Solanum lycopersicum: one gene and its partners. The protein of the gene in region 7 binds, or shares a complex with, the protein of the main gene of each other region. Links are inferred from orthologs where the notes say so. Each region holds a gene or a part of one and is shown on either strand. Other genes may lie near its edges.

Region 1 (3,709 bases), on a different chromosome or scaffold from region 7:
TGGAAAGGATAATTGTATATGGCACGTTCTCTTCCCTTTATGGAAGAAGTTGGCTGTATAGGTTAACGGCAATATATTTATCAAACTACTGAAGTAGAAGCTACATATTTTGTGTCTTAACATAAAAGACTTTCCTGAATCTGAAAGCATTGGAACTTCAAAGTCATTATTCCCATCCCCCATCCCCCATTCCTACCTTTTCTTGATAGAAGAGGGAAATCCACTACCTGTCACTTAAACTATATATATGCACTTAACAGACTTTGCTGTGCTTGCATGTCAAGATGGATAGATCACATCGAAACCCCTAAAGTCTGAAAAAAAATGATGACAGAAAATATTGAGTGATGGTTTCTTATATCCAATTGTCCTACAAAATTTTTCTGTTGAATATATTCCTCCTTCAATGTGGAAAAGGAGGTTATAATCACACGTACATCCTCTTAGTGTGTCGCTGTATAATTTTGTGAAATATGGAATAGCTGTAGAGACTCTTCTCTTTTTTTCAATTTGTGGGTCCTTTGTTCATACAATACAATTGGACAAAAAAGGAATGCAAAAAATACCAAGTGATTGTTTGTTGTATCCTGTTGTCCTACAGCATATGAGTGATGAACAGTCTCCTTCTTTAGAGTGGAAAAGGAGGCTACAGTTACTCAGACAACCTCTTTACATGTTGCTATAATTATCTATATGGAATAGCTGTAAAAATCCTTTGCCCCCTCATTCTGGGGGTATATTGTCCGAGCTGTACAGTTGGACAAAAAATACAGAGTGATTGTTTGCTGTATCAAGTTGTCCTATAAAGTTGAGTGATGAACGGTCTCCTTCTTCAAAGTGGAAAAGGAGGCTACAATCATTCGTACGTCCTCTTAGCTTGAGGTTCTGGTTCATTTTTGCTTTCCTTCGCTACTTTATGTACTTGTTCCTTGTTTTATGGGGTTCTTGGTAGGATTTTAATTCTGAAGCACGATAGTAGATATCACTTGCATGTTTAAAGCTAGGTGATGTCAAAATGAGTTTGTTGAGGTGACCGTTGAGACTTTGGAAATATGATGTGATGAATTGTTGTTATTGAACCGTCTTTTATGGTTACTGGTTGAGGTGGACTCTCACTCAGTTCTTTTTTCCAAAAATGAAAACAGCACCTCATCCACGGAGCATAATTGCCAATAATAAAACCTCCCAAGGTTCAGACTTGCATAAATGCAGCAATCAACACTATCATCACACACGTCGGCGGTACAAGGAGCTTCAGCTGCGGAGTCCAATGAGATGAGTGGAGATGCGCCGCCAAAGCAGGTGGCAATGGCACTGGAGCGACTGGGGCAGGCGAGTCGACTCATAGCTGATATTAGAATTGGCGCAGATCGGCTGTTGGAAGCCCTATTTGTGTCAGCTCAGCGGCAACACTCTTCTAAACCTTTGCATCTTATCCACAAAGAAGAAGCTTCCATGAGACAACACCTTCAAGAGCTTCGCTCTGTTGGAAGACAGTTAGAAGATTCTGGTGTCCTCAATGATTCCCTCCGATCACGAAGTAATTCATGGGGCCTCCACATGCCTTTGGTTTGTCCTGATGGTGCTGTTGTTGCATATGCATGGAAGAGACAACTTGCTGGTCAGGCTGGTGCATCTGCAGTTGATAGGACCAGGTTAGCTCTCAAGGCCTTCAATGGTCAGAAAAGACGATTTTTCCCCCACCTTGATACCAATTATGGTGGGGAGGGTGTGACAAAGAAACTTCGTGGTCCTCCATCAAGTGATCAAGAAGAAACTTGTGAACTGAAATCAGTGTCTGAAGTTTTGACACATCTGAAAAAGGAGGTCTCAAATGTAATAACATTCTCTTACCGGCGTTTGGATTGGTTGTTGCGAGCTACCTCATTGCCCTCTTCGACCAGTGAAAATTCTATTGAATTATCAAAAGAGAGTACTTTCCAAAGCACGAGAACATTAAGACAAGGATCATCTGATGATGATGTTTCAGACAAGGTTGCTATAATCGAATTGTTGATTCCTTCTGTTTTTAGAGCCATAGCATCAGTTTCCCCTGCTGGTTCCTTGGATCCCGACGCTGTAGCATTCTTCTCGCCAAACGAGGGTGGTAGCTACATTCATGCGAGGGGATTCTCCGTTCATCATGTATTTAGGCACATCACGGAGCATGCTGCTATGGCTTTACAGCATTTTACAGGTGTTGGTACTGAGTCACCCTTGCTTTCTTTGCTGCTGTGGGTTTGCAGCTATCAGACTTTGTTCTCGAAAGCTTGCAGCAAGTGTAGCCGTCTACTATCAATGGACAAAGAGTCTGCCATGCTACTGCCCCCTGTTAATCGCCCTTACCGAAACTTTTCTGCTGGAAAATTCTTGTCAAAAGAGGAGCCAAGTGTGGATTCTAGTCAGTGTTTTCACATCGACTGCTTTTCTGAGGAAGCATAGAAAAATCAGCTCCATTGTACAAAGAAATTCCGAACCTATAATGTAGTATGTGGCCTGAGAGTGGTTGGTTAACGAAGTTTCTTTGGATTGTATTTGTTACACCAAACTTTAGATTAGTTACGTTTAACTTTCTTTTTGAGGTCTTTAAAATCCTACTAAATCAATGACAATTTTATACAAGTGATCTTTTCTGAAGTCACTAACGAAGGTTAGTTAACAGAGAGTCATTTATTTTGTTGTTTTATTTCCAAAAGATCGAAACAAACTTTTTTTGGGGTATGATTAATTTATTTATGCTCTGCTTTAATTCATGCAATCTAAAGCTGTTGGTTTTTTTAGCCTTTCTAGATTGGTCTAATCATTAATGGAATTTAAAATAGGAGAATTTGAATAACAATTAACAAGTCTTATTTTCCTCTGTTTGATATGCCTTTACATCTTTTTCAATTATAATGCTAATGGACATACAGTAAATATTCGATAAATTAATAATCTCTATAAAATAATGTTTTTCTCTTGTCTCGACTTAGATCAATGGATTGAAATCATCAATTTCGATAAGATAATGAAATAATATATTTCTAGAAGACCTTTATATAAATATGTGGTTCCATTAATATCATAAATTAATAATTCTTTACAAGATCAAATACATCTAAGAAAATTTAGTGAAATATGATTTTATTGTGTTCTGTTTTTTCTTAAAATTTAAATCTAGTTGAAGCTCATCTTTAAATTTTCTTATTGCATCCAAGAGCTCTGGTATTGTCTTTTCGAGCTGCATCATAAAATTATAAAGAGTTTTAGATGCGATAAATGCTTCCTTAAGCGTAGCTAGCTCCAAAGATATAGTATTATCTTCAACTTTATCATCAATATTGCATTTTTCAATGCTATTCACAATTTATTCTAAACTCTGGATCTATGAACACGTATCACTTTTATCCGGATAATACAACAAGTTCTTGATATCCATTTTACCGTGATAACCAAGATCATTAATCATACCAAGTTCATGAATGCCGTTCCACAAGTGGATTCATTTTAATTCTCTGAGATTGCGTCTCGCGAACGAATGTTACTGTGTCGAATACAATTTGCTATTGTCTATTGTCGAACATTTGTTGTCCAAGCAGGGATTGCAATTTGATAGCATCCGAAACATTGATCTTTGTTGGATCAGTTTGTCTCACTTCATAACCTTCTAATATCCGACGATAAAATCTGTTACAATAATACAACTTGAAAGTGCTCTTATTATCCCAAC
Region 2 (3,408 bases), on a different chromosome or scaffold from region 7:
GGCCTTATCTGTTGCCTCCGTCATCCATCTATCTTGGAAGAGGACTTCTTTTTAAGACTTGTGAAGCTGTTTTCTGTCCTTCACTGCTGTTCCCTGTGTTTTGATTGGCTCATAAATGAACCCAACAATCTTGTGAGCTATATTCCCCCAGCCTTTTTTGGGTGTGGACTCCGGAGTTATTATGACAGACTTGTTTTGACCTTGTAATGCTATAAAGCTGATGTATCTTCCACTTGCATTGTATTTAAGAGTGCAATAAAATTCTGCAAAGTGGTCTTTCATGTTCCACCTCTTTACTGTCCTTCCGTGTGTCTTTAAAGCCTCAATAAATACTGCAACTAACCATTTCAGGACTTTAATGCTAACTTTCACTCCTCTCATTAATTTTCTTTTACGCTCCACCCATTCAAACCATTTTCCACCCTCGTCTTTGCATCTCGTAATGTCGTAGGACTCGAACCCTGCATTGTAATAGATGATATCCTCCCCTATTGGGTGTGGTCCGGAGCCTTGCCGGATCCACCCATCTGAAACCTTGAGTTTGAATAATTTAAGCTAAAAGCTGACAGATCTCAATTAAAGTGCCTGGTATGTATTTGACAGTTTATTGAATTTATTAAATTGACACTAGTATAATTAAAATCTGTGTGAACACTTCATATTTTTTTCATAAGTTATCCATATAATAGCAAAGCTCTTCTATTTTATGTAAATATAATATGATATATGCGAGAAATAAAGGAAAAGAATATTATTGAATTGTTGTTTCTAGATTATTACAGAGACACCCTATGTATAGACACTTCAATAGACACCTTTTCCATCTAGGACACTACAATACAATCCTTTTCTAAGTTGGACACTACATACTAAGGATTGTATGTACCTATTACTATCCTAACAATATTTCTAGTCGAACTATATTTCTAAGGTCTTAGATGTAGTCAAAGCACCCAAGCTAGGTTAACCATATCTAGTGTGGATCCCATAGCCACACCCAAATCGTGTAGTTTCGACACGGGCACGATGATGATTTTGATAGATTTAAGAAGCATAGGTTTTAATTATTTCGGGCGTAACTGACACTCCAATCCATTACTAAGCATCATTCTAGGGGGACCTTAATTTAGTCTCTTCCTAATCTTTCATTAAATATTACCCCTAAAGCAGTTCAAGGTTTTGTTCCTTGAACAATCATCTCAATGAAAAAAAAATGCTCGAACAAACATCCGCTTCTCGCCTCAAGTTACCTGCATTTGAGCGCAAATGTGATCGCATCATTGGACCCAACTTATGTTGACATACTGAAGTGCATTAACCCTCACCTTACTTCAGTCGTTTTAAGCGAAAAGTGATTGTGTTTCATAACACTGCATTTGAGGTAGCTATATTATTGCATCATGCTTTTCTTTCAACAGTATTCTTTTTCCTTTTCTACTTACAATTTAGCTGCTATTTGCCTTTCTTAACATTGTCTTTTGCTTCATGGAATTTCGGTCCACTGATTTTATCGTTGGTCTTTTAGGTAATATTGTCGCACTGCTACATGCTTTCTTCTGTAACCTCCCACAAGAATGGCTCGAGGGAACTCATCTTATCATTAAGCACCTTAGGCCTGTGACATCTGTTGCAGTATTAAGAATATCATTTCGCATTATGGGTCCCTTGCTTCCGAGGTTGGTAAACGCTCATACCCTTTTCAGTAAGGTACAACTTCTTTCGAGTTTATGTTCATTTTACTCTTAATGTAGGATCAGTAGGGGGTTAAGGGGATTTGAATTTTGATTTACAGTATTCCAAGAAACCTAGATTATTTTCTCATCTTTTCTTAATTTCATAGGCTGAGATATTATATGCTCATGTTTGACCGTTCTCCTGCATAATAGTCCTTGTTTTGCCATGTAAAAAGAAAACATGAAAGAGCTAACTTAGTTACCAAGTATGAAGTATAAAATTCCACAATCCCTTGCCTACCCTTGTCCCCTGTCCATCCCTTCACCCGGATAATTACCTCTTAAACATCTCTGGAAGCAAACAAAAATAGATGGAAGGTGCTGGTGTTGTCTTCCCTTTCACCTCATACTCACGTGGGTTATACAAGCCTAGCTTACATTCCAACATATCAAACTGATTATGCCCATTTTAAGCACCGTGCTGCCTATATTTTATCTTAAGATGAATTAGCCACCACACCTGCTTTAGTCTCAAATATGGTACAAAGAAGTTGCTGAGTGGTGCAACAAAAATTGCTCTCAAAGGCACTTCGGTATAAGAAAGAAGTGATTTATAGTGTTAGCATTTTCAGAATTGTTAAAAATTAGGAAATTATTATTGTGGGAAGTCCCCATTCATTACATATATCGGAATGATTTAGAGTTCTTAAGTTGGGGTTTGGCTGTGTAACAAATGGTTTTTACTTTATTTGTAGTTTTTGCAGTTGGAGTTGTGTTTGGGCACACGTTTTACAAAGAATATTTAGAATTCATGTACCTTTTCTAGATATGGTTTATACTCCCCAATTTCTACAAACTAGAAAAATCACCCAACTTGACTAATTATCCTAAAACATACCTTCAAATCTGCTCTAAAAGAGTAATATCTCAAAATAGATAGTCACATAATGTCATAGATTAGATCCATACACGAGCTACTACATGCTATTACGAATATTTTTGACTTTATTTGGGATTTTAAAGTCGAGTTGAAGATGGATTTGTGTGATTATAATGTTTGTAAATAATATTTCGTTGTTTGAATGTTCTTTTCCTAAAAAGACATGAAATTGTATTTGGAATTTTCATGGACAAACATTGATTTTGAAAAAAATGAAATAATTCTTCAGGAAAAAAAGGGTAAAATTCTAAGTCCAAATGCTTCCTAAAATTTTGTCATTAGAGAAAGAATTACTTTACTTTTCAGGATTACTTTTATAAATTTATTAAACCCCAGCATGCTTCTGGGAATTATCAAGAAATTCATCATTTTCATTGCCAACATCTTTTCTTTTCTCATTGTTTAACATATAATTAAGCCCTCTAAGATCTTGATGGAGACACAAGTAGCTTCCACTACCAGCAGACATTGCCGACCAATTGCCAACAATTTTCTTGCATCTTGCAATCCGAAATGAAGACAATTTATTGAAGTTAGCTTCCTTTGAAGCGGAGTGAATCAGAAGTAAGAAATAATATGTCCTGCTCTAGGAGGAAGTTCCATTGAATCAACAACTATTTATAATAGCTTTGGGATTTCAGCATCTTAAGAAAAAGAGGAGATTTCTTTGTTTACTGGCTGCCGCAACCCTTTCTTATTCTTTTTTTGTCTCTTCTCCTTCCTTTCGGTATCTAGTACAGTTCCTCTCTCCAACAAGCGATGCATTTCTCACCTTTCAAGCATTGTTCATCTATC
Region 3 (4,977 bases), on a different chromosome or scaffold from region 7:
ACAATTAGGAAGGGACGGCTTATTTTTTGAGGGATATATCAATTAAGGATGAAAATTATTTACTTTAAAATACTTTAAGGATGTTTTATGATAAGAATATACTTTAAGGCTGTAATTTGAGTTTGAGGTATAGTTTAATGATGATTTTGGCTAAAATTTCAAAATAATTAATCTCCAACCTTTTTCAATTACGGAAAAGGCGAATCATGTACGCTCACACCTTTCAATCATTTTTAATTTCCATAAGCAACAATGTCTAAGATTTTTTATATTTTTCAAGAACTTCTTGTAGAAAATAATGAAATTATACATAATAACTTTTGTTGATAGTCGCGTTAACTGCTCATGTTTTTGTAAGATCCCTTAGTTTTTGACAATATCTAACAAAAGGATGAAAGTTGTTCACTTACAAATACTTAAAGGATGTTTTCTGCTAAAAATGATACTTTAAGAATGTAGCTTAAATTTGGGGTATAGATAAATGATGTTTTATGCTAAAAATAATAATTTAAGGATGTAGTTTAGATTTCGGGTATAGTTAAAAAATGTTTTTGGCCAAATTATACCCTATATATAAATAAAATGCTATATAATATTGCGATATATAATTAATTGAACACCTATGACAAAGTCTATTGGTCTGCTGGTAAGCATGTTCATTTACGTGCAAGAGGTCCTCAGTTGCAACATGTTTTTTAAAACATAAAACACACTCTCTTTTCAATTATGTGTAAGAGATCTGTATTAAGTGACTTATTAGGTATACACATTCTCAAGATTTTATTTTAAAGAAAAAATTAAAGATTATTATTTATTATTATACTTTTGAGTATTTCTAAAGTATCTTTCTATTTAGAAAAAGTAAAATAGTTAAGAATTTGAAAATAGGAGAAAAAAACTCATCATAATCGTGAAAGTCACTCTCAAAAGGCTCATCATAGCCCTTTTTGTGACTCGACTCAAGCTCATCATACATTATTCGATATTTGAACTATTCAGTTATTTAAATTACAAAAAACACTCGACAATTTATTTCATATGAACTAGAGGGAGTATATTTCAAGCAAAAATTATTTTGTGACTTTTGTCCATTAGTTTTGATTTATTCCATCGATAGTTTTATCATTTTAAATTTCCGCAAGATTTAGTTACTAAGTGATGTGTAATTTAATTTCTCACACATTTGCAAAAATAAATTTTGTGTACCCACTTCGCTAAAAAAATTATCGACTCTTTTAAAGTTTGAACAACCTCGGCGAAATTTCTGGCTCCGCCACTATTTGGCGAGTAACATACTCATCATACACTTTCTTGGATATATCGCGTTAATTCATTCATCATCAAGATAAATGATTTTGATCTAAAAGTTGATGTCTGGTGCAACCTCTTCATAGTGGAAAAGTGCTTTTTTTTCTTCTAGGTCTTGACTCCTTCATACATGTCCTTGATCTTCTAAATATACGTCATAGAGTCTGGCATTAATACATACATTTTATGAACCCTAAACACCCAAAGGGACCTCCAAAAAAATTTGGTGTGTGTTTTATAGAGGGTCCCTTTTAGTGTTTAGGGTTTAAAAAGTGTCCGTTTTGATATCAGACTTCTACATACCTCCAATTTCCAAACATCTCCAAAAAACCTCCTTCAAGACTCTGTCTAAAAAACTTTCCAATCAATGAACATCATATGCAAGTTTTTCTATTTGACTGTACTTATTTATCAATCTCTTTATAATGACTTTTGAATACATGTGAAACATGCTTAGATATCAAGTGTATAGAATAAATTATATCTAATTTTGACTCATATGTATCTATTTTGTAAAGTTCTAAGAGAAAATATAATTAGAAAGTATAGTTTCAACCGATAAATAACACAAATGTAAATGTGTGTTTTGTGTTGTTTCCTCTTAATTTAAATACAATTCATTCAAATTTGAATGCACTAGTGATCTACTTTTTTATTAGTTCAATCTATTTCAGTTTGTTAAAATATTAGTTCATATATAAATCAAATCGGTTAATGAAAAGTGAGTTTTATGTATTTTGAATTAGTATTTTAATTATTAAAAATTATCTATTTTTTTTTAATACATACTAAATTTTATACTATAGAAAATGTTAAAATTTCTAAATTAGCTTGTTTGCTCTTGAAATCGAAACCTCCCCACAAATTGGGACAGCGGGAGTAATTTCAATTTTGCTATTTGAAAAAACAGAGGATTTTCCGTTGGGGTTTAACCGGATCGGGCCTTTTCATCTCCGGTAATCTTTCTCGTTTTGTAATTCTCATCGTACTTCTGCTTTGTTATTAACTGTACTAGTTGTGGTTTCAGTAAAGTTTAGCTTCGTATAGTTGTGAATTCATTCTCTTGTGGCGGCTTAAATCAAGGGTTTGGTTGTCAGTGTTATAGCAAACGAAGATTCTGTTCAGAAGATTTAGAGTTCTTTTTTGTTGGAAATTTTGAGGTTGTGATTTTGACCTAAAACTGTTAATTTCATAGATAGAGAGATATTTGTATGTTAGTAATAGGGAACCTCTAGGGTTATGAAAACCTAAATTATTGAATATTGGAATAGATGGGGTTCTAATGGAGAGAATTCATATAGTAAACCCAAACTAATTCGGGATTGAGGCATACTTCTTGATTACTGAGCTAAATTAGAGATAAAGAGTAAGAGGTGCAGTTGGGATTGATTCATTTCTCACTTTAATAACTATCTAATTTTACAGTTTTAGGTTTTGTAAACTTTTTTAGTGCATACTAATAACTATCTACCCTTTTGGTTTGCTTGGGATTGCTAGCTCCTTAGCTTTAGTTTAGGATACTTGTATGAGTGCTGAGATTTTTTTTATGCCCTTCCGAATTAGAGCTAAGCGGTCGCATATTTTGTAATCTGGCATCTACCCGATGCCCATTCAAGGATAATTTTTAACCTTATCAAAAAGACATAGTTGCAGCAGTAATTTTTTCCGATGTACCTATTGATTTAACAATGTGAACACCAAATTTATACAGATGTCATGGTAGTTTTTACTTGGAGATAAGAGTTTACTGTTTGTTAAATTTCAAAGAAGAGTTTACTGTTTGTTACGAGGGATGGGCTTCAGTTTTAGAGGGTCTCACTTGATGGCTTTGTTCTCTTTGGTACAAAAGAACTATTCTTGTAATAAGATGTGGATGAAATGTCATTTAGGAATGATGGGAAATATATTTTTGAAGTGGTTTGTACATTTCAGAATCTTAGGAATTATTTCTCTTTGCTACTCAGTCCATTAGGCCAGTTCATGCTTTGATAGTTTTGGCTATTTGTGTAGTACTTGATTACATCTGATGACATTAATTTTATCCATTTTAGAACCAAAGTACCAACAGATTTCAGCTCAACAGCCATTAGTTATGGACCACTTTGGAGGAGGAAGTTGGACAATGATCCCCAACATCCAAACTCACAGTAATCCTTCGACACCCTCCAATCAAGACAATTTATTTCTTCAGCAACAGCAATTTCAACAACAACAGTTCATTCAACCGCAGCTCTATCAGCAACAACAGCAGCAGCAGCAGCAACAACAACAACGGTATCAACAACAGATGCAACAGCAACAAATGCAGCAGCAGCAACAGATGCAGCAGCAGCAAATGCAGCAACAACAACAACAGCAGCAGCAAATGCAGCAACAACAACAACAGCAGCAGCAGCAACAACAACAACAGCACCACCAATCACTTGCCTCTCACTTCCATCTTTTACAAGTATTGGGCAAAAACCATGATCTGTAGCTTGCTATTTTAATAGAGTAACGAGACATTTCTCTTTCCTAGTGAGACCTTTTGTTCTAACTTTTATTGTCATCTTACAGCTGGTGGAGAATTTAGCTGATACAATTGAAAATGGAAATCGAGATCAGCACTCAGATGCATTGGTTTGTTCATTTCTTGATTGATGCATTATATGTTAGTTTTCCATTTCTTCTACATTAAACCGGGTGTATTTTTCCTCACCAGGTAACTGAATTGAAAAATCAGTTTGAGAAGTGCCAGCAGCTGTTGACATCAATATCAGGGTCTATTAGCTCAAGATCTATGGTATTTCATTTTCACACATATCCTTTGATTTCTGTTGTAACTTGTTCTGAACACACCCCCAACTCAAAAAATAAAAAGAAAAAAGAGAGAGACTCCAACAAAGAGTTAAGCGCAATAATATGAAAACAGAACTTCAAAATTATTCTTTTCTGGAAGAGTTGGATTGTTTTTCTTTTGGCAGTGTTATTGCTTTTAATTGTGCTTTTCCATTTGGGCCTGTTTGTTCAACTTATAGTTGTGAAGAATTTTACTGAAAAGTGGGGTTCAATATGTTTGAAACGATGTTGACTTGAACAAAGTTGCTCCACAAATTCTTATTTGGTTGCATGTTTTGATGCTTAAATATGGGTAAGATAATTGACCAGTCCTGTGTTCTTTGGACAGACAGTTGAGGGACAAAAGCGCAAAAAGGCAGAGTGCGAACAAATGCTAAATCAGCGAAGGTTTGTATTATATATATATAAAACACACACACACACACATATATATATGTGTGTGTGTGTGTGTTTCTAATATTGTCTACTGAAATTTGTATAATTATTATTTGCTTCATCTGATGGTCATGTTTCATGCTTAATTACAGGGATCTTATTTCGAGGTACAAAGGCTCAGTTGAGGAGATTATTAACTCTGAACTATAGCTCATACTCGCATTTTAACCAAGGTAAAATTATGCGCTGCAAGTTGTTTTTGGCCTGCCCAAAAGAAGTTGAGTTGAATCACCTGTCATTTTGATTTTACTAGATGCAAGTGAAACAACTATGCAGTGTTCTGGATGCAGTCAATTTGTAGTTTGTTGTAATACATGAGAATAAAGTGCTCATGAGAAATTTTTATTGATGTTACTGTTGTAATCACTATGGCGCTCGCCACAAATGACTGCTCTG
Region 4 (5,011 bases), on a different chromosome or scaffold from region 7:
ATACAATTGAATCGAATTGTATAAAACGAGAAAGAGAAAAATTATATACAATTTGAATTGTATAAAACGAGAAAGAGAGAAAGGCAAAAGAAACTGGGCAAGGGAGTTTTTTTATTGTATAATTGTAAGTGTATATGACGAAAATATGTGTATTTGCATGTTTATATACAATTTTCTCTCGCTTTATATAAACGGAAACACAATTTATACATTTCATTTCTGTTTGTATAAGCGAGAGAGGCGAGGGTGGCGAGTGAGATCTGGGAGAGGGGAGAGAGGGGAACAAAAATATATGTATTTATACAATTTCCTCTCACTTTATACAAATAGAAACATATTTTATACACTTGTTTTTGTATAAAAGTGAGAGGAAGAGAGCGAGAGAGGAGAGTGGCGAACAAGAGTTTGAGGGAGAGAAGTGACTGACAAACAATTTGCTACGGGACACAATTAAATCAAAGGGTGGTTATAACAATTAATTTGATTTATTAGTTTGCCATTATATACAACTTTCCCTAAAATTTATAATCACATCATTAAAATTTATTATTCTCACCGACATAAACTTTATTATTTTCGCTAACATATAGTCACTTTAACTCACACTTCACGTTTGTTGAGTAATAAAATTTTGAAGAGCCTGTGAAATGTGTTTCATTTTTACACGAATATATTGATGAAACAATTACTTTAAGTGGAGAACAAATAACATTGTAATCATTTATTATACGACAGCAATACGAAATCCCATTGTTCCAACCTCCACGGATCCACTAGTCACCTCGAGGTTCACCAACGAGCAACAATGAACAACTAACCCACGTTGCTCTTTCATTTTCTCCAATTCTAGCAAATTCTTGAGCTCGAAATCACCAAAAACCAACCACAAAGTCACCAAGGACCCATTTCTCAACCATTTCCAACTAAAACAACCATCAAAAAATGGATCTCGACTTGACCCAAAACCCATTCATTTTTTTTTCTTTTTTTTTTTGGCGAACAGCTGCATAACCCAACCTTTTCAGGCCCACAAAACCCCAAATTCATTTGCTGTATAAAAACACCAGCGAGCCATCAGAACTCACACCACTATCGATACCATTCTTCGGTGAAACACCCATCAACAGTGAGCTCACAGACAGTGGTGAGCCACCACAAAATCTGCTACCTAAGGCCGAAATCTGGCCAAACCGACACCTTTAGGTCTCCATTCGATCCAGCCATGAAATGGCAAAAATCCACCGGAGAAAGCTGCCACATCCACCATTCCTCTTGTCGGTGAGACCATAAACACTTTTCCCTCACACGACTTTGTCTCCTTGTCGCCTCCGTCCGCCGCATAGATCGTCTAAAGAAAATGAAAGAAAAAAAATGGTTGAGCATGGATAGTTATGCATGAAAAAGTAGGTGGGTGGGTGAATAAAAAGGGTTTTTTATTTTTTTTCTTTTTTTAAATTAATTGTTCTATATTTTGATAAATTTTATAATTTTTAATTATAAATATGGTGTTCAGTTGCTTTTACACGCGTGTAATCACTCTCTCTAGCCAATTCAAACATTCAAATGGCACATAAGTTTGGTCAATGGTTAGAGGGTTCATTAAATTATGTTTTATTGAATTCAGGATCTAAATAACAAAAGGATAAGTAGAACGGTTCACAATACAATAACATACAAATATAAGGGTCCACCATACCATTTCACCTTAAATTAAAAATAAAACTAATATTATGGTGTTTAGATGGAAAAAATTATTAGAATTAGTAAAACTTTAGGTATGTACATTTTGAATAATAAAATATAAACATATAAATGCGTAATGAAAATTGCGGTTGAAGAGGGTTGGCGACCATGGAAGGAGTAGTGGCAGCTCAAGATCAGCAACAGCAACAGCCACAGCCGCCCAGGGTGGTGGAGGGTCTGAACCCCGCTGTTCAACAACAACTGAATCTCGAATCCGTTAAAACTCGAGCCGTTAGTTTGTTCAAGGCTATTTCTCGCATCCTCGAAGACTTCGACGCTATCGCTCGCACCAATGCTGTCCCCAAATGGTTCTCTTTCTCTTTAGTTCATTTCTTCTATTTTAACTGTGTAGCAGCAAATACAAATACATTGGAGTAGTTAAGTTGACTAATACTAATATCTACGAGCTGTATTAGCCCCCAAAATGAAGGTGAGTGAGACTAGATGATATTATTCTATCCCGTAGTACTAAGAGTTTAGAGTAGTCTATTTTTTTGTTAATAACCCTCAATTTGTTTTACCAAGCACCTCCTCTGACCTCTCTGATTAGGATACACTATGGTTTTATTGGGTAATTTCGGCTAATACAACTATGCTACCAAATGCAGGAAGTTTACTAGTTTGTCATTTAGGGATAGTTTATTGACAACACCAAAATGCATTTTGTGGGTTCTCCAGCCAAATGAGTTTCCGGTACTGTGTCTTCACAGGCTGGGATACCCCTGCTGAACTTTTAAGGTAGCCATTTTTATTCTTTGTCAATTTAGGCTGCGAGATTTGTTGTCATTAGGTAGGTCAGGATGTTGTGATTCTGTGTATATTTGGAGATGTAATTACTGAATTAAGTATAACAAGTTTGGGAATGCATGCTACAAAATACTACTTCAACTTTGATGCCTCAATAGTGCAGTTAATATCCTTCCATGAGCCTAGACTCACCAGGCAAGATTACCTTTTGGTTAGATGAACATTGCTACATAGGACATCACATTCTCAACCACAAATCATCTTCAGACAATTCCCTGGACACATCTCGGTTAGTAGGAGGTTACACAGTCTCTTCACCAACTTTCTTATACAGTTTGGGCTTGGATCTGCATATCCTTGTCCCCAGGTTTAGAGTAGTAATAAAGATCTGTGTGAAAAGGAGAAGCGCCTTATTGATGCATGTGGATTATCACAGTTGATCTCAATATTCTCATTATCTCCCTTAACAAATGAGAGTAGACCTTCACTCTCTAGCATTTATATATTATTCAACCCCACTTATAATAAAAAATCCAACCTAAGATATACTTGCACATTCGTTTTGTAGAAGGGAATGATATATAAGAAGATCAACTTACACATTTGATATTGATTTCCTTTGGTATCTTATTGTACTGCTGATTTTTTTCTTTTTCATATTATTTTTGTAAAATGAAATCCAAATCTTCAGCGTCATATATAATACCCTTTTCACGCAAAATCTGATCTGCCTCACTCTTTTTTTTCTTTCTATAGACACCATTTAACTTATTTGGATCTCGTTGGGAATTGAGATGAAGTGTTTTACAGTTGATACTTGATGATTATTCTTAAGAGTACTGAAAAAAAATATGGTATATCTTTATGAGGAATATGTAATCAGGAATGGTTTTCCAACTCATTTCTCATATATGTTAACATTTAGTTTTAATAATTCTTTTTGCTAGGCAAGATATTTTGGGGCAATTTTCTATGGTGAATCTTGAGCTTTATAACATTGTTGAAGATATTAAGAAGGTCTCCAAGGCTTTTGTTGTTCACCCCAAGAATGTAAATGCTGAGAATGCTGCAAGTATGGACTTATTCACTCACGCTTGGTAAATTTGTGAAGTTGGACTTCTATTATCCTTTCTTAATTATACATGCTAACCACTGACATTTGTCGTTGCATATAAGCAAGTACATAGGTAGTGTATAGGAAAGTGAATCACCGAGAAGGTTGGTGTCTTAATTCTTCTCTCCTCTCGAATGCTACCTAAGGGTATATACATATTTAGTCTGGCTGTTAAGTTGCTCTTTATCTAACAGTTTCACTTCTTGCTGACTTGCTGAGGTTAGCTTGATATACATGTATGCATAACTAGATAGCACGACAGTCAGTCACTATTGCTAGCAATTCTATTTCCATGTGGTGAAATTGTTTGAGCATAATCAATCAATCAATCAACCACACCCAATATCAAATTAGTTTTTTTTTTTTTTATGAAGTAAGTTGTTTCATTACCGGCATCAAGAAGATGCTAAGAGTACAAAAGTAGATATGCTAGTTCCGTTACATGATAGCAGTTAAGACACGGGAGCCATCCACCAATTCAAAAAATCTAGAGAAGGCTTAAAACATGACTATGTCTGGCCTAGAGTTAAAGAGCTAATAAAATCTAAGAAAGTAGTGTAACTATTCACATAAGACGGGTTGGACCAACAAAAAAGAATGAACAAACATTTAGCTTTGAGTGAGTGATTAAGAGTTGAAATTCCATCAAAACACCGTTGATTCCTTTCTGTCCATAGGCACCAAAAAATACATGCTGGAATCATTCTCCAGGTGTTCCTGATGGCCCCATCAACTATCAAATGGTCCCAACTCACAACAACTTCTCTGATAGTTTGAGGCATCACCCAGTTCAAACTGAATAGGGAAAGGAACACATGCCATATGCCTGCATCCACCGCACAACGCAAGAAAAGATGATTTACTGATTCTGCACTTTCCTGAATTTCTTTTCCAAATTTCTGATAAGGTTAATGAAAGAAATAAGCATGTATTTTTTGGGCTGTGGAGTATATTTGTGTTGACAGAAAATCCGAAAGATGCTTTCTGTCTATGTTGCTCAGACTCTCAGTGGGTGTGTATCGGATTTTCCAAAAGTATTGTATTTTTGAAGAATTTGACACGGGTGCGGCATCAAAAGTGAAGAGTCCGCGCAGCTTAGCTTTCTGTTAGTTGTTACTTACAAATACTTTTCGATGCAGTTCTACCTGTTATGCTGTCATCAAAGCTGCTGCCAGAGATGGAAGTCGAAGATAATGCCAAAAGGGAGCAATTATTACACAGCATGCAACACCTATCGGTAGCATCCCAAATTGAGAAGTTGAAGGTGGAAAGCTCTGCAGATGCTATTTCTTCTGTTTCTGTATCCTTGTGGCTTTCTAATATACCTATAACACACAGGTTAGAATTGATATGATTGGAGCAGCATGTGAAAGTGCTGAGAAAGTCATAGCTGATACGCGCAAAGCC
Region 5 (5,020 bases), on a different chromosome or scaffold from region 7:
GGGGTGCACCAGATTGCAGTATACAACTGCCAAGCTCCATTATTGAAACTGCAATCAGCAATTAAACAGGGTTGACTTCTTTTCTAAACATAGGATGTAGTCTAATTCCAGGGATGATCACCTACAAGTGTGGTTGTGAAATTAGATTCCACAAATAGGATGCAACATAGCTTTTATAGGATGATTAAAGAACCAACGCATAATCAGAATATTTTAACACAAAGTAATATGTTCAGTGTAATGCTCCTATAGAACCCAAAAGCCATTCTTAAATTTAAAGAACTGACATTATCAAGATAATGGAAGAAACACATCATATGCTCAATAGGAGTATTACCCAATTTTCCGCTTAAGCATATATAAGTTTAATGAGTCGTCACAAAGTCGCAATTAGGTCAATTTGACCAACCAGAATAAAGTATAAGCACAATACTTGATTTTACATTGGAGAACTATGTGTTAAGTAAATAGGAAAGAGTACATCTTGTCGAGAAAAGGACACACGGCATAGTTTCAAACTGAAACTCATAAATATATATGGGGAAGCACTTCACTTGACCAAAACGAGAAAAGAGATGAGTGATAACATGAAATCCTTGGAATTCCGTTAATGAAAGTGATACAGCTAATATAATTTTGTGTGCTGCACTTAATTTCAGGTCTATAGATCTAGGTTGTACCGATTCTTAAGTGTCACACCACCCAATTCAAGCCAAATGGATAAAGTTCCTCTTTTGTTAGTTTTCTGGAAAGACAGTAGGCCCTTGAGAGTCAGTACCTGCAACTTTGAGGACACGGAATTGGAACAGTCGAAGGGGAAAGAATAACTACAAAGGCAAAGGTGATTATAGGAATTCGTACAGGCTAGCCGAGGAGAGGGACCGTAACCTTGCCCAAGTGAAGTGCATCAAAGACCATAAATACTCCTCCCATTTACCATAGATTATAGGCAAAGGTTCATATACTTAGACCACACTAGAGAAGTTGCTCCTTCATTTATCATCAAAATCTGAAGTTCACATGTCAATATGGTGATTCGAATTCTTCACTCCATTGATAACCCATTACTGCTATAAGTGTGCATTGGCAATCTTCCAGTCACCTATCACCAGATGTCTGAGCTAAGCCTAAAAAATTAAGCAATTGAAACCACAAACGAGGGCATCCCAAAAGAGTTCAAAGGCAGGCTGCTTCCTTTCTGTTTTGGTTACTTGGTTTGGGAATAAAATTAGTTCTACATTTATTTCTTAAAGAAATTTGATCCTAGTGAACCCAACAAATGTGTAGTTGATCTCTCGCAAAACTTTAGCACTATGTTTTCTGACATGAGAAAGAAAGTACAGGTCATTGATCATGCTTGAGACTTGGGAAGGACTCTAAAATTCAATAAACAACAAATCACACTCTTAATAGGATTTCATTAATGTGTTTGCCAATGAGGAACTGCAACACCTATTCGAAAAATGAAATCATGGGGTGCAAAATGTATTACCTTAATTCATAAATTAGTTGATAGGAGGTCTGTGCTATGAGTAAAATAAAATTATCCGTCTTTCCTGCTAAAACAAAATTATCCAAGTCAATAACCATTTCAGAAACATTACGTCACAAATCTAACCCTAAAATATAAAATCATAACAAGAGGGAGCATGCAACAACAAGCATTGACAAAGTTTTCACAGTAAGAGAAAAGTAAAAGAGGAGAGGAAATACTTTCTCTTTCTTCGATCAACAGAAGCATTCCTTGGGTCCGTTTTAGCAAGACCAGATCCAGGAGGGATGGCATACTGCATCGGGGAAAGAGCTGCAGCTGTAACAGGTGTAGGAGCAGGAGGTGGAGCAGTTGGAGGGGCTACACTTGATGGTAGTGATGCAGGTGGAGCAGAACTTGGTGCAGTTGCAGGCTCAGGAAGCGGCCGCGGCAAAATATGTTTCAACCGGTTATTTCTGTAGTTCTTCCAGAAGTAAAATTGCTGCCTATGTGCTACTTCCTAATAGTTGTTACAAACATGTAGATCAGATCCTATCACAGATTTATGTGCCAGAACTTTAGGTTGGCAAACAAAGTGCAATAAATAATAAACAGTGAAATGAGATGAGATGTCCTCGGGGCGAGAATTAACCTCGACAACACGATTAAATAATTATAAGTTTTATGCCTAGAAACTACGGGAAAGTTCAGAAATGGAAATAAGGCTAATGGCTAAGACAATGAAGTACCATGTATTATAAAGTGTTTTGGCAGCATTTTTAGTCCATAGAAACTGTGTTTACAGAAAGTGGGGTGAACCTTCTTTATAGTGGCTGACAGTCTTAACTAACTAAAGAGTATAGCAAAAGTGGAGAAGGAAACCAGGACAACACATGACATAACTTTTTACCTTGTTAGCAGGATGAGCCATTGCATTACGAAATGTTGGATTTTGGAGAAGCTCGAGAAAGAATAGGCAGTGTGGATACCTGCATTAACATCAAGAAAGGAAAACCAATACGATTAGTTAACGATATCCATAGTCCACAGGAAACAGAAAAGGAACAAGGACCATCATCCACTGCATCTAAAAAGTTGCAGTAGAAAGAACATACATAACTATTATCACATATTAATACTATAAACTAACTTACATTATAAACTTTATGTACTCAGGTCGTTGCCAGTACTGAAGGTACTTCAAGTACCCAATAAAAGCTTCATCTTCAAAATATCTGTTCTGAGCCAAATCTGCATCAGAATCAATACAAAGTCCACAAAACAAAACAAAAAATGAAAAAGGGATAGAAAAATTGAAGCTTTTGCAACCCAATATTCATTTTCACACCAACAACATATATAACATAAAACTAACAATAATTGGTAAATACCCAGAAAACATCATGTTTAAATAAGAGAAGGGAATAGATAGATAGATACAGTGAATGTAAGTTGGGTTAGCAAGGCATTGAACAAATTCGAGTTCGAGTAAGAAACGTTGGCGCCCATCATCGGGATCTTTATAGACGCTTTTCTGCCTGCAAATTGGAACAGAAAAAACAGTTGATTAATGTGAATTTGCGAAGATGCAAATTGATTTGAGATGAATTGATTCTGCTTACGGTGATTCATGGGTTTCTGGATTCGATGTAGAAGCCATGCGCTAAACCCTAACTAATTCTACTTTTCAAAGTTAGCCGTTGATTGTATTGCTGCGCTATATATACAAAAGGAAAGTCTGAAATTCATTGCATTTTTAAGATGTAATGTAAAAATGGATTAAATTCATATTGAAATAAAATTTCAGTGTTAAAATGACATCTTGTATTTGATTTTGATCCTAATTTTTATTTGCTCAATATGAGTGTGTCATTAGATTCATTTACTCACCTAGATTATACAGTCGATCAGATTGAAATGGTTAGAAATCTTTTTTTTAAGTGAAGTCATAATTCTCATATGTGATTATACCAGTGTTACTAAAGATGAAAAGCGCAAAAAAGCTCTTACGATCCATGGGGAATTTAAGCGCAAATAAAATGTAAGCTTTGATGAAAAAAGACGCAAAGGGAGGAAAAGAGTATAAGTATGCATGTTTAGTCCAAAACTAATAACTATAAACATGAATATGTCAAATATATGATCAAAGAAATTGAAAATAATTATGACAAAGTGAAATATCAGTGATTTAACTTCACTGTCTCATAAGAGGCTCATTGGTAAGGTGACGTTTGCCTTAGAACATTGGTGAAGACACTAAAGTGCACATAAAGCGACGCGAAGCCCTCAACACGTTTTTGAGTCTCGCTTGCGCGCTTTATATCTAAGTTTTGACCAGTTTTTTATTAGTATGCATGAATTTTTAAGCTTAAATTCGTAGTTATATAAATGTGAAAATTGTGATTTTAGTCCAAGGGGTTAAAAAAAAAAGGGCGATTTTGGATGCAACCTTCATGATTTTGGTTTGGAATAAAAATCTTATATCACTTTTGATATTTATAAGCTTGAATTCAAGTTGACTCTGTTTCGGTTATTTCTCAAAGAAACATGTCTACGGGCCACAACTGAATATATGTGTCATGAAAGAGAGGTGCATAATACCATGCCTAAAATGAGCATGGAAATTGGGGGTTTTGGACCTACAACTACGAAATCATATTTCGATGACCAATGTTTCCAACCAAATTTTAGATTTGTTTACCCTTTATACAATTACCAATTTGGACTACTTCAATTGGTATGTCCATGCTTTTTCCTATTAACAAGACGCTTTACCATACACTACAAAATCTTCATCTCTGTCTATACCAAAGCATTTTGTATCTACCCTAACATGGAGTAATAAATAGTCCTTTAATAAAATTAAACACCATTGGTCTTATTGCATGTAGCTATTAGGATTTGAAGTTGGGGATAAGGAGGTTTAGGAGAGGGGAGCTTAAGAGTGACCAAACCACAACCATACATAATTCAGACCATCTCCAACAAACTGTCTATTTTATTTGTCTTTTCCATTTGCTGCCCAAAATGCAAGCATCTGAGCAAGCTAGCAAAGAAAAAAATTCTCAATCCCCAGAACCTAAAACATCATCCACAGAGTTGAAATTTATGTCAGCTAATGACTTATTTGAATTAGAACATCCTTTGCCCTCAACCAAAGAGAGTAAAACAAGGAGATGCCCTTTTCACAAAGCGAGCTCCATGCTTCTCTAGGGAAGGCTGCAATCCAGCTTAAAATTCACTAGTATGGCCTGTAGCGGATGGACCGTCTGAACCTTGGAACCCTTCTGCAAACAAGATGACAACACAATACTTGTTAACTAAAGTTTGATGTAATCATCAAGCAGGCATCAGCTTGAATTATGTCAAGACAAAACATGACAACGAAAGTGAACATCAAACAAGAGAGTAAAATTTGCACAACTGTTAAGTTATAGCTTATAAAAGTGAAGAGTCAAGGAGGACAACTTAGGAAGGAACACTGTAATCCAGATGAACAAATATCTGAAAATTTATTCTTCCATTAAATCTAGGGAAGTTCAGCTCTCT
Region 6 (4,228 bases), about 28 Mb from region 7:
AGAGCTACAATGTAAATCTAGTTTTGCTCTAGCTGCAGAAAATCGGTCTTTTAATTAAAGAACACTACCATAAACGAGAATAGGGCAGTTCAAATGGATGCAACAAAGATGCAGGCAACCTATAAAAGAACTACAATGAAAAGGGGTTAGTCTCTAGCTGCTAAAACTCAATATTTAAAAGTAACAACACTTACAAGCTTCTTTTCTTGCAGCTGACTAAGGAACCCATGCTGGTTCATTGCCCGAAAAACTAGAAAATCTGCCTTCCCAACATATTGTCTGATCCAAAACAAAGATGTAATTTTCATAAAGCAGTAATTGCACTGTGGACGAATAATAAGAAAATGTTTCTAACATGAAAAAGATCCACCAAGCAAAAAATTAATTGATCTAAAATGAATTACTTGTTATTCATGTGATCTTGGGAAATAAGGCGAACAATTTGCATTGTTGGAGGCCAATTTGCAGCAAGCCTGACAAAAACACAAAGGACAAATCAATTCCAAGTGTTAATACAGTTAAAAAAACACTGCATTATGGAAGTGAAAAGAAGACTAAAGATGCATAACAGAAAAACAAAAAGATAATTTTCCAGAAATGACATCATTTGCTTCAAATACATAAGAGCATCCTGTATATCATTCCTATGTAGCTACCACAAATCGAACAAAGAATCACATTTGGTTTAAGAACTTCTACATCGACTAAACAATTATAGCTGAAAACTAAAATATGAGTTAGATTCCTTCCACAAATTTATTAGTTACCCTAGAGAATTAGATTCCTTCCACACATCAATTCAATATAATGCAATCCGGAGAAGTACAACTTTCATCAAAGGAATCACAAGCATCCAACTAATGCTGCCAGCACACCCCAAAAATTTGTCATCGCTTAATCCTATTTTTCAAACACTTCAAGATTGGCTAGATCTCACCTGCCTATCCAACGCTAGAGTACATCTGAAAAGAACTCTATTTGTCTGCTACTTACTTCCATTCTTAAGTCTACCAGGGAAGCAATTTCTCATCCAGTATGGTTGCACACAGTGATTGAGGAGATGTCCACTTTACACGCAAGTGGTATTTGGGAACTTGCCCTTCATCCTTCAGGAAATCTATTGTTGGCTATCGTTGGGTTTATGTAGTCAAAGTTGGTCCAGACGGCCAAATTGATCAGCTAAGTCCCGCCTTCTTGCCAAAGGATATCATCAGATATGTGGCTTAATTGTGGTGGTACTTTCCCTCATGTGGCTAAAATAGCATATGTCCACCTCTTTCTATCCATGATTGTTGTTCGCCATTGTCCAATTTATGAATTGAACATTAAGAATGTTTTTCTCTATGACGACATTGATGATGAAGTTTATATACAGCAACCACTATGTTTTGTTGCTGAGGGGATGTCTAGTGGTAGTGTATGTCGATCGTACTGGTCACTCTATGGTTTGAAACAATCTCCTCAAGCCTGATTTAGTAAGTGCAACATAGTTATTTAGGAATTCAGCATGACTGGTAGTGAAGCTGATAGTTGTGTTTTATCAACATTCAACTTCAAGTTTGTGTATTTATTTAGTGGTTTATGGTGACAATATAGTTATTATTGACAATGATTGTGATGGTATCACTAGTCTAAACAACATATCTTTTGGCACTTTCAGAAAAATAATTTGGGTAGAATGAAGTTACTTTCTAGGTATTGTTTTCCTTTTTTAATGATGAGAAACCCGCAACCGCTACCCTTTGGATGCGCACTGGGTAAAATCCCTCACTTCTATGCAATAGCTTACGAACCACGCAGGAGAAGTTACCTGCATTAGGCAAACCCGGTGAGACGAGCTCGACCAAGAAGGCAAACATCTTTTTTTGCTAGCAAGGGGTTTCGAAGCTGAAACCTCCAACATGGAAGTCCAAAGCCCAATCAATTGGGTCTTCCTGAAAGGGTATTTTATTCCTATTTCTTAACAAAAATATGCTTCTGAGATTCTTGAAGAGATAAGATGGGCTGTAAATCCAAAGGCACTCCTATGGAACTGAATGTTAAGCTTATGCTACGACCCATTGACACTCGAGGCTCAAATCCATAAGCAGATCATTGGATACACCAATGTTGATTGGTAGGGTCACCTTCTGATAGACATTCTATGTTTGGTAATTGTATTTTAGAAGCCAGCAATTTTTAGTGCGTTGTTAAAGCAAGAAATAGAGTGTCGTTTCTCATTCTAGTCCAGAACATAATATCAAGCAATATCTATGACAACATGTGAGCTAGTTTGGAGCAAGTGGGTGTTGAAGGATTGAATTTGAAGAAGTAGGCTAGCAATCCGATTTCATAACTAGTTGGTACGTTCGAATAATAAAAAGAAGTTCTCTTTCTAATCCTATTTAGATTCTGTCGGGTGAATACAATCAAACAGAATCCAATTCTGATGCAAAAATTCAAATTAAAAAATGAAATAGAAAAGATACAAAATCAAAAAAAAAAAAATCACTAAAGGTGGGTTGTAAACCTTATTAGATACCATTGACTCTGGTATCTAATTAGTTTTACATACTATTGGATTTGAACCAATGACTCCCACCGTATGAAAGCAGTACTCTAACCACTGAGTTAAGTAGGTCATTTATCATCCCAAAGAGAACCAAATGAAACCCATCCTGTCGATGGATTATAAATATCATATTACTTGTAACCAATACTAATATAAGGAATACCACTCAAAGAGATCAAAGATTCTTGATGTTACATCATGGAATATTTCTCTTGACAAGATTGAGAAAAAATTGTAAAGGGAAATGGGTTATAGAATAATGTCTCAGTTGTAGAAAAAAAGAATTTTATAAAAGATGAATCCCTCAAGAAACAAGTTTCTAAGACTAAATCAGGAATTCCTTGGTGTCTCTACCATTTACTGATCTTGCTAAATTTGAGAGATCAGTGCATCATGACAACAGAGTTCTTTAGGTGTAAAATAAAAGATCTTGCAATTCGAAGATGGAAAAGACAGTAGCATAGCTAAACTTACACTATAAAATACAACTACCAAATATCCGTACAACTTATGGAAGACAAATATATAGTCCCTTCACAATCCAACAAGGAATGGGAACGTTGCAACAATAACAGCAGACCCATTGAAATCCGACAAGTGGGGTCAGGGGAAGGTAGAATGTACGCAAACTGTACCACTACCTCGAGGAGCTAGAGAGGATGTTTCCGAAAAAACCCCGGGTCAAGTGCAGAAAATCCAAGTACAAAGAAGGAGACAGTGAAGAAAATATAGCGAGTAACAAGGAAACAGTGCGAGTCTACCAGAAGGAAGCAAGACAACAACAAAACAGTGCGATAACTCAAACACAAAAAACAACATAGTAGGATTGTTTATTGTAAGTGACATTGTGAAATCACTAAATCAAGCATTTATAAAAATGAAAACTTACGATTCAGAAGCTGAGGCACTCCTATACCCCTGCCACAAGAAATTGGATCACAAGATTTTGTACAGTTAGTAGAGATCCAGCAAACCATTTTACAACATGAAGAGATAAGTAGGCAATACTTCATGTCTCAACACAAAAGCTGGATTGCCTTCTTTAAGACACTATCACTTAATGATAACCATTAGAAAAAGATCAAAAAACACAAAAGAACTTGTAATCACTAGAAGTTCCAATAAGACAAGTTATAAGCATACCTCCAATCTGGTAATAAATACAGGCTGCCCCTGTCTCTGACCAGATAAGTTTCCCTGCAACATTTTCATTACAAATTATCAGGAGTACTTCATTAACATCATACAGAAATGTAGAGCTTCTTGTAGGTAGTTTCTAAAAGAAAACAAGATATGGGAAAACATGAATTCGATCGGGATGACGAAAAATTATAGCAAAATAATCAGAGTTCTTGAAAAGAACAGCAGTTCAAAAAATTGAATAAATACCAACCCAGTTTCTCATTGTAGTATATAACTTGCATATTATCACACTATTCAAGGGTATAGACATATCCTCAGTATAAACTATAAGTTCAAAATTGTGGTCTTACAACCTCAAATATGATTTTGCTGGTTCTGCGCAAAGTCTAAAACAATTGTTTCTTTCAAAAGTTAAAGTAATTGGTTATGCATCAGAATAAGTTCTATCCTCAGCCCCAAACATCAGAGCAACCATTAGCAATTCACTAATATTATGTTATGGTTCAAGCAAATCAAACTGTAAGGTGCCTTAGG
Region 7 (4,657 bases):
ATCGTCAGCAGATGGTACAAGTGAAATGGACAGAGAAGCTCTTTGACCTATACTTAAACGTAACAAGTTTTCTTGTATTCCTGTCACGTCAGCACCCAAAGCTGGATTAAATGCTTCACGGTTAACCAAATCAAACACCTGCAACAAGGACCAAGAAAATAATCAGAAAACAGAAGTAGGTCACAAAAATGAATAAGAAAAACTCAAAGGGTACTAAAAAGAGAAAGGAGGGAACCTAGAAATATACCTGCTCATCAAAGATTGCTCGGTGAACTTCACGGAGTGTCGAATGAGTTTCTCTCACATGCTCATCATCACTTTTTTCTCTCTTAGTTTCTCCAGAAGAATCCTCAAAAGACACCTTTGGTCTCAGTCTGCTATGTTTTATAACACCAGCAGGTGTACTTGCACCGAGAAACTCAAATTGAAGAGTCCGGCAGGAATTTGGCGGTAAATTCACAGCCAGCATCCCAGCTGGGTCATGCTCAATACGCACCACAGATGCAGAAGATGGGCGAAATGCAACCGCTGGATCATATAATGAAGTGTCAAATAAATCAATGTAAAACCCTTCATTTCCAGAAGCAGCAGCAACCATCCGATGCCATTTAACCTTCCAATTTTGCTGCAATCTATCAGCTCATCAGGAAATAGCCAAAATTTTGAGGAAAGGCACAAAGACATGGTAGTCTAAATGACTGCACACATATCTTTCACAATGTACTAATACTGTTCGTAGCCACAAAGAACAAACCTGATAAGAGCACCATAAAATCTTGCTTCTCTAGCCACTTGTTGTTCCAAAGCTTTGGCAGATTGCTTAAAATATTTCCCCAAATGCTGCAAAAGAAAAGCCAAATTACGAAACACATACAGCTTTGCTAATGAAGTGCATAACTATACTTTGTCAACAAACCATTAGACTTAAAGATAATCAGTGGATTATTTGTTTAACTCAAACTTATACATCAACCATAACATCTTGCAGAAGGGATAAAGTAAAATACACGGAAGCATTGCAGCTTGGTTGCCATAGACACGGCAAGGTCTGACAGATGCTCGTTGGGCAATTGCTTTGGCCTGGTCATGCCAGCCACTGTCACTGCATCGTTTGCCTCCACCTGTATGCAGAACAGCAGAGTCAACAATGCAATACATAATCCACAGTTCCTGCTAATTTATTCATCTTATGCCTAAGAAAGGTGCTGTCTTAAATGCCAGGGAGAAGGGGCAAAAAGGGATTGAAGGAGCAAATGGACTGACGAATCTCATGCCACTTAAATAACTAATGCCGAAAGCTTAAGTCAAATTTTTTAATCCTTAGTTGTCTCTATCATACTGATAATGAGGAGTAAATGATATGCTAGGGACATTATCATATGCCTTTTCTAGGTCAATGAACACCATGTACAAGTCCCTCTCCTTCTCCCTATACTGCTCAAACAATCTCCTTTCATGGCTTCAAGCTGAATTGGTTCTGACACACCCCTCTTCATCCTCATCTCGACCACCCTTTCCCAGACTTCCATAGTGTGGCTTAGTAGCTTGATACTCGTGTAGCTATTGCAATTTAGAAAAGCCACGTTGATTCAATTCAAAAATCCAATATGTGGTGTATCCAACTTTACACCTTCCAAAAGGCCTTTCTTTATCACGCACACATGAAATTCCCTACTGGAACAACTTAGAGGTAGTTAATAATTCCTCTGTTGTAAATAAGATGTCTTGATCTTCTTTCTCTAACCACTTTTCAAGTACATTCACGATCATACATGTGTGTATTTTACAGTTCTCTATTGTATTTTCTGAATTAGATTCATACCTTACTAATATTGATAACTAAATAAAAATGTTCCAACCCACTCTCGTGATAAACCTCAACATTGGAATAAAACCAGTGTGCTCTATTCTCATAGATGAAATTTTATTAACATTTATCCATGATGCAAACACTACTCTGTATCATTCAGTCTAAAACTGCATGCCACAAAAACTCAATTGGCCAATAATGAGTACAGCATAAGACAAATGTATTCCACTTTCAAGCACATTATCAGGCTAAAACACAAAGTTTTCCTCTTATGGTAAGTGCATGGAACACAACCAGCTAGGCACAAGACATACTAAACATGTACCAACAAATAATCAATCAATCAACCGACACCTCAATCGCACACTAGTTGGCATTGACTAAACCTCCGTATTAAGGCGGAGCTAGAGTGTGGGAAGCAGGTTCAGCAGAACCTAGTAGTTTTAGCCCACTTTGTAGGTATCATATGCAATCCATTTACTAAGTACAAATTACTAATTTAGAAATCATCAACTCAAAAAGAATAAAATCCCAAACCTATAACCTGCTCACCATTCTTTTTTCTCTATTCAACTTCATTATTCTCAAAATCTCACAATTATCACACATTAGTCTTTGACCAGACACCACACAAACACCAGACCAGATGTAAATATCAGAACAATTAAAACTTAATTTGAACTATTTTCTATCAAAACTATATAGACATTAAGTTCAATCATTAAAATTATAAGCCAAAATTCTAATGTTAACACTTACAGTGTGAATGAGATCGATAATGACTTGAAGCTCTTGATGAGCCAATCGCAAATTCTCCACCAAACTCTGCCATTGCCATGGCTGACTGCTACTTGTCTCCTTTGAAGAAGTAGCACTACTGCTTTTCTTCTGCTTCTTACTTGGCTCTTCTCTTTCCACTGCCCACGCAAAATCAATTCTCCTAATCAAATTCACCGTTTTCTCATCGTATCCTATATCACTGCAACAATTACGAAAAATCTAAATGTAAATATCCAGCTCACAAACTGATTATGCATGAAATTCTACATTTTTATATAGAGAGAGAAAGAAAGTGTACGAAGGGAAGCGTTCAGCGCCTTGTTCTTCAATATACTCTAAACGCTTGATCGGAAGCTTGTCGACGGAAATCTCCAGATTGCCGTTCATTTTTCAGGGAGATTTTCCGGGAAGAAGTGTCGGAGAAATCCCGAATTGTGCCCTAAATCGGGGAAAATACCCGTCGAAAATAATTGGGGTTTGGTTCGCTTAATGTATGGGCCTATTAAGATCTGGGCTTAAATCATGGGCCTATTACGAACCACACTATGGCCCTTTCATGTTTGGTTTGGTGGGTCAAAAAAGGGAAACTTACGTAAATGTACTCGCTTGATCACTTTTAATTCATTTATAATACAAGTTTAATACATATTACACAGAACAATTTATTATTCACATGTAATACAAGTTTTAATGATAGATAATACACTTATAACACATTTTAATACACTTATAGTACAATGCGACAATTTTTTACCAAACAAACATAATATATTTCAAAAACAATTAGAATTCATATATATTGCATACATAATTCACTTTTAATACATATTACAGACTTATTACAGTATTGCTATAAATGGTAATAAACAAAAAATATAGCTAAAATCAGTAATTATATTTTAAAATGTATTAATTCATGTAATTTTTTCGTCAAAAAATGAGTTATTTGCGCTTTTATCGTATTTGTACTTGATTTCAATTTTTGTCTCTTATGATAAATCAATAACTTTTTTGGTGGGACGTAAGTTTAGATTTTTTTTAATCATAATATCTCATAAGTTATAGCACGTGTGCCCTTAAAGAACTTATGTACCGCTAGGTATAAGTTTGATTATTAAAGATCAACCTATTTAAAAGAAAAATCGTGCAATTATCAATTATTAAAGGTAAAATTTGAAGATCAACCTATCTGAAAAGAAAATCATGCAATTAAATATTCAAAAAGGTTCGATAGTTAGCAAATCGTCTTGTAGTTTCGATAGTAACTAGGTCTACAGAAAAGTTATGCGTCTTATATTCATGCATAACTTTCATACTGAAAATAACACAGTTAAAAATATTATTACATATATTAACTCAAATAAATATGATTGGTGAATAAATTTTACTTATATACATTACAATAAACATCTTAGTTTCATTATTTTCTTGGCGGCTAAGGATTATTTTTACAGTAACAGATCGGTCTAATCACGAGTTCATAGATTCAATAAAACTTAATGATTTGATTTTGAACATTGTAGTAGCATATGCAATTCTTTGACAATAGATTTATTTCAATTCTGTTTTTGACGATGCATTAATATACATGTAAAATTTAACTAAGAAAATCAATTAATTTCATATTTATATAATTTCATAATACAAAAGAACAATAAATTTTTTATTTAAAAAAATCTAAAAGTTTGAAGCAATTAAATTTAAATCATTGATATGTTTAATTAATTTCAACTATAAATATAATTAAATATACAATTTAAATCTCCTTCTCTCAACTTATAGTTTATAATAATTAAATTCTAAATTCGTCATCGATCGAAGTTGATACACCTCCTCAATGAATCAAAAAGACATTATTGCTAGTAATTCTTAATTATTTTAGTGCCCTTAGGCTACTAAAAGAAGTATAGTATAAAAACAAAATAACAAAATATACAAGTTTAATATTTTGATGATGTGTTTATAGTAGTGGTTGGTATTATGGCAATTTGCCAATTGCCACGTCACCTATTATATAAAAATTCCAGCTTGTCATGATTACGTGTCATTTTTATTTGATGAGTTTTA

The links.
Region 1: mediator of RNA polymerase II transcription subunit 17 (region 7) and mediator of RNA polymerase II transcription subunit 27 share a complex: the UniProt entries of both Arabidopsis thaliana proteins name them as parts of the mediator complex. The link is inferred for Solanum lycopersicum from reciprocal best matches to the Arabidopsis thaliana genes AT5G20170 and AT3G09180.
Region 2: mediator of RNA polymerase II transcription subunit 17 (region 7) and mediator of RNA polymerase II transcription subunit 23 share a complex: the UniProt entries of both Arabidopsis thaliana proteins name them as parts of the mediator complex. The link is inferred for Solanum lycopersicum from reciprocal best matches to the Arabidopsis thaliana genes AT5G20170 and AT1G23230.
Region 3: mediator of RNA polymerase II transcription subunit 17 (region 7) and mediator of RNA polymerase II transcription subunit 9 share a complex: the UniProt entries of both Arabidopsis thaliana proteins name them as parts of the mediator complex. The link is inferred for Solanum lycopersicum from reciprocal best matches to the Arabidopsis thaliana genes AT5G20170 and MED9.
Region 4: mediator of RNA polymerase II transcription subunit 17 (region 7) and mediator of RNA polymerase II transcription subunit 8 share a complex: the UniProt entries of both Arabidopsis thaliana proteins name them as parts of the mediator complex. The link is inferred for Solanum lycopersicum from reciprocal best matches to the Arabidopsis thaliana genes AT5G20170 and MED8.
Region 5: mediator of RNA polymerase II transcription subunit 17 (region 7) and mediator of RNA polymerase II transcription subunit 31 share a complex: the UniProt entries of both Arabidopsis thaliana proteins name them as parts of the mediator complex. The link is inferred for Solanum lycopersicum from reciprocal best matches to the Arabidopsis thaliana genes AT5G20170 and MED31.
Region 6: mediator of RNA polymerase II transcription subunit 17 (region 7) and mediator of RNA polymerase II transcription subunit 25 share a complex: the UniProt entries of both Arabidopsis thaliana proteins name them as parts of the mediator complex. The link is inferred for Solanum lycopersicum from reciprocal best matches to the Arabidopsis thaliana genes AT5G20170 and PFT1.

What each region holds. Positions count from the first base shown.
Region 1 is NC_090800.1:77,933,057-77,936,765, forward strand, and holds the end of mediator of RNA polymerase II transcription subunit 27, read left to right. Parts: intron 1-1,145; 5' UTR 1,146-1,206; coding exon 1,207-2,442; 3' UTR 2,443-2,622; downstream 2,623-3,709. UniProt on the Arabidopsis thaliana protein: Component of the Mediator complex, a coactivator involved in the regulated transcription of nearly all RNA polymerase II-dependent genes.
Region 2 is NC_090804.1:17,725,737-17,729,144, reverse strand, and holds part of mediator of RNA polymerase II transcription subunit 23, read left to right. Parts: intron 1-1,525; coding exon 1,526-1,707; intron 1,708-3,408. UniProt on the Arabidopsis thaliana protein: Component of the Mediator complex, a coactivator involved in the regulated transcription of nearly all RNA polymerase II-dependent genes.
Region 3 is NC_090801.1:55,598,173-55,603,149, forward strand, and holds the start of mediator of RNA polymerase II transcription subunit 9, read left to right. Parts: upstream 1-1,943; 5' UTR 1,944-2,264; intron 2,265-3,359; 5' UTR 3,360-3,400; coding exon 3,401-3,757; intron 3,758-3,864; coding exon 3,865-3,927; intron 3,928-4,009; coding exon 4,010-4,090; intron 4,091-4,474; coding exon 4,475-4,533; intron 4,534-4,673; coding exon 4,674-4,731; 3' UTR 4,732-4,754; exon of another isoform or gene 4,755-4,977. UniProt on the Arabidopsis thaliana protein: Component of the Mediator complex, a coactivator involved in the regulated transcription of nearly all RNA polymerase II-dependent genes.
Region 4 is NC_090802.1:67,511,423-67,516,433, forward strand, and holds the start of mediator of RNA polymerase II transcription subunit 8, read left to right. Parts: upstream 1-1,761; 5' UTR 1,762-1,851; coding exon 1,852-2,051; exon of another isoform or gene 2,052-2,173; intron 2,174-2,351; exon of another isoform or gene 2,352-2,425; coding exon of another isoform or gene 2,426-2,481; intron 2,482-3,437; coding exon 3,438-3,562; coding exon of another isoform or gene 3,563-3,587; intron 3,588-4,743; coding exon 4,744-4,868; intron 4,869-4,942; coding exon 4,943-5,011. UniProt on the Arabidopsis thaliana protein: Component of the Mediator complex, a coactivator involved in the regulated transcription of nearly all RNA polymerase II-dependent genes.
Region 5 is NC_090802.1:52,519,156-52,524,175, forward strand, and holds the start of mediator of RNA polymerase II transcription subunit 31, read right to left. Parts: upstream 3,286-5,020; 5' UTR 3,132-3,285; coding exon 3,094-3,131; intron 3,010-3,093; coding exon 2,912-3,009; intron 2,723-2,911; coding exon 2,626-2,722; intron 2,461-2,625; coding exon 2,382-2,460; intron 1,992-2,381; coding exon 1,714-1,991; intron 1,560-1,713; coding exon 1,544-1,559; 3' UTR 1,493-1,543; intron 1,321-1,492; exon of another isoform or gene 577-1,320; intron 122-576; coding exon of another isoform or gene 118-121; 3' UTR 1-117. Other genes in the region: polyadenylate-binding protein 1, read right to left, coding at 4,713-4,758. UniProt on the Arabidopsis thaliana protein: Component of the Mediator complex, a coactivator involved in the regulated transcription of nearly all RNA polymerase II-dependent genes.
Region 6 is NC_090811.1:29,968,029-29,972,256, forward strand, and holds part of mediator of RNA polymerase II transcription subunit 25, read right to left. Parts: intron 3,749-4,228; coding exon 3,695-3,748; intron 3,470-3,694; coding exon 3,441-3,469; intron 474-3,440; coding exon 405-473; intron 280-404; coding exon 195-279; intron 1-194. UniProt on the Arabidopsis thaliana protein: Component of the Mediator complex, a coactivator involved in the regulated transcription of nearly all RNA polymerase II-dependent genes.
Region 7 is NC_090811.1:1,513,519-1,518,175, reverse strand, and holds the start of mediator of RNA polymerase II transcription subunit 17, read right to left. Parts: upstream 3,087-4,657; 5' UTR 2,978-3,086; coding exon 2,889-2,977; intron 2,790-2,888; coding exon 2,570-2,789; intron 1,122-2,569; coding exon 1,008-1,121; intron 841-1,007; coding exon 755-840; intron 633-754; coding exon 248-632; intron 139-247; coding exon 1-138. UniProt on the Arabidopsis thaliana protein: Component of the Mediator complex, a coactivator involved in the regulated transcription of nearly all RNA polymerase II-dependent genes.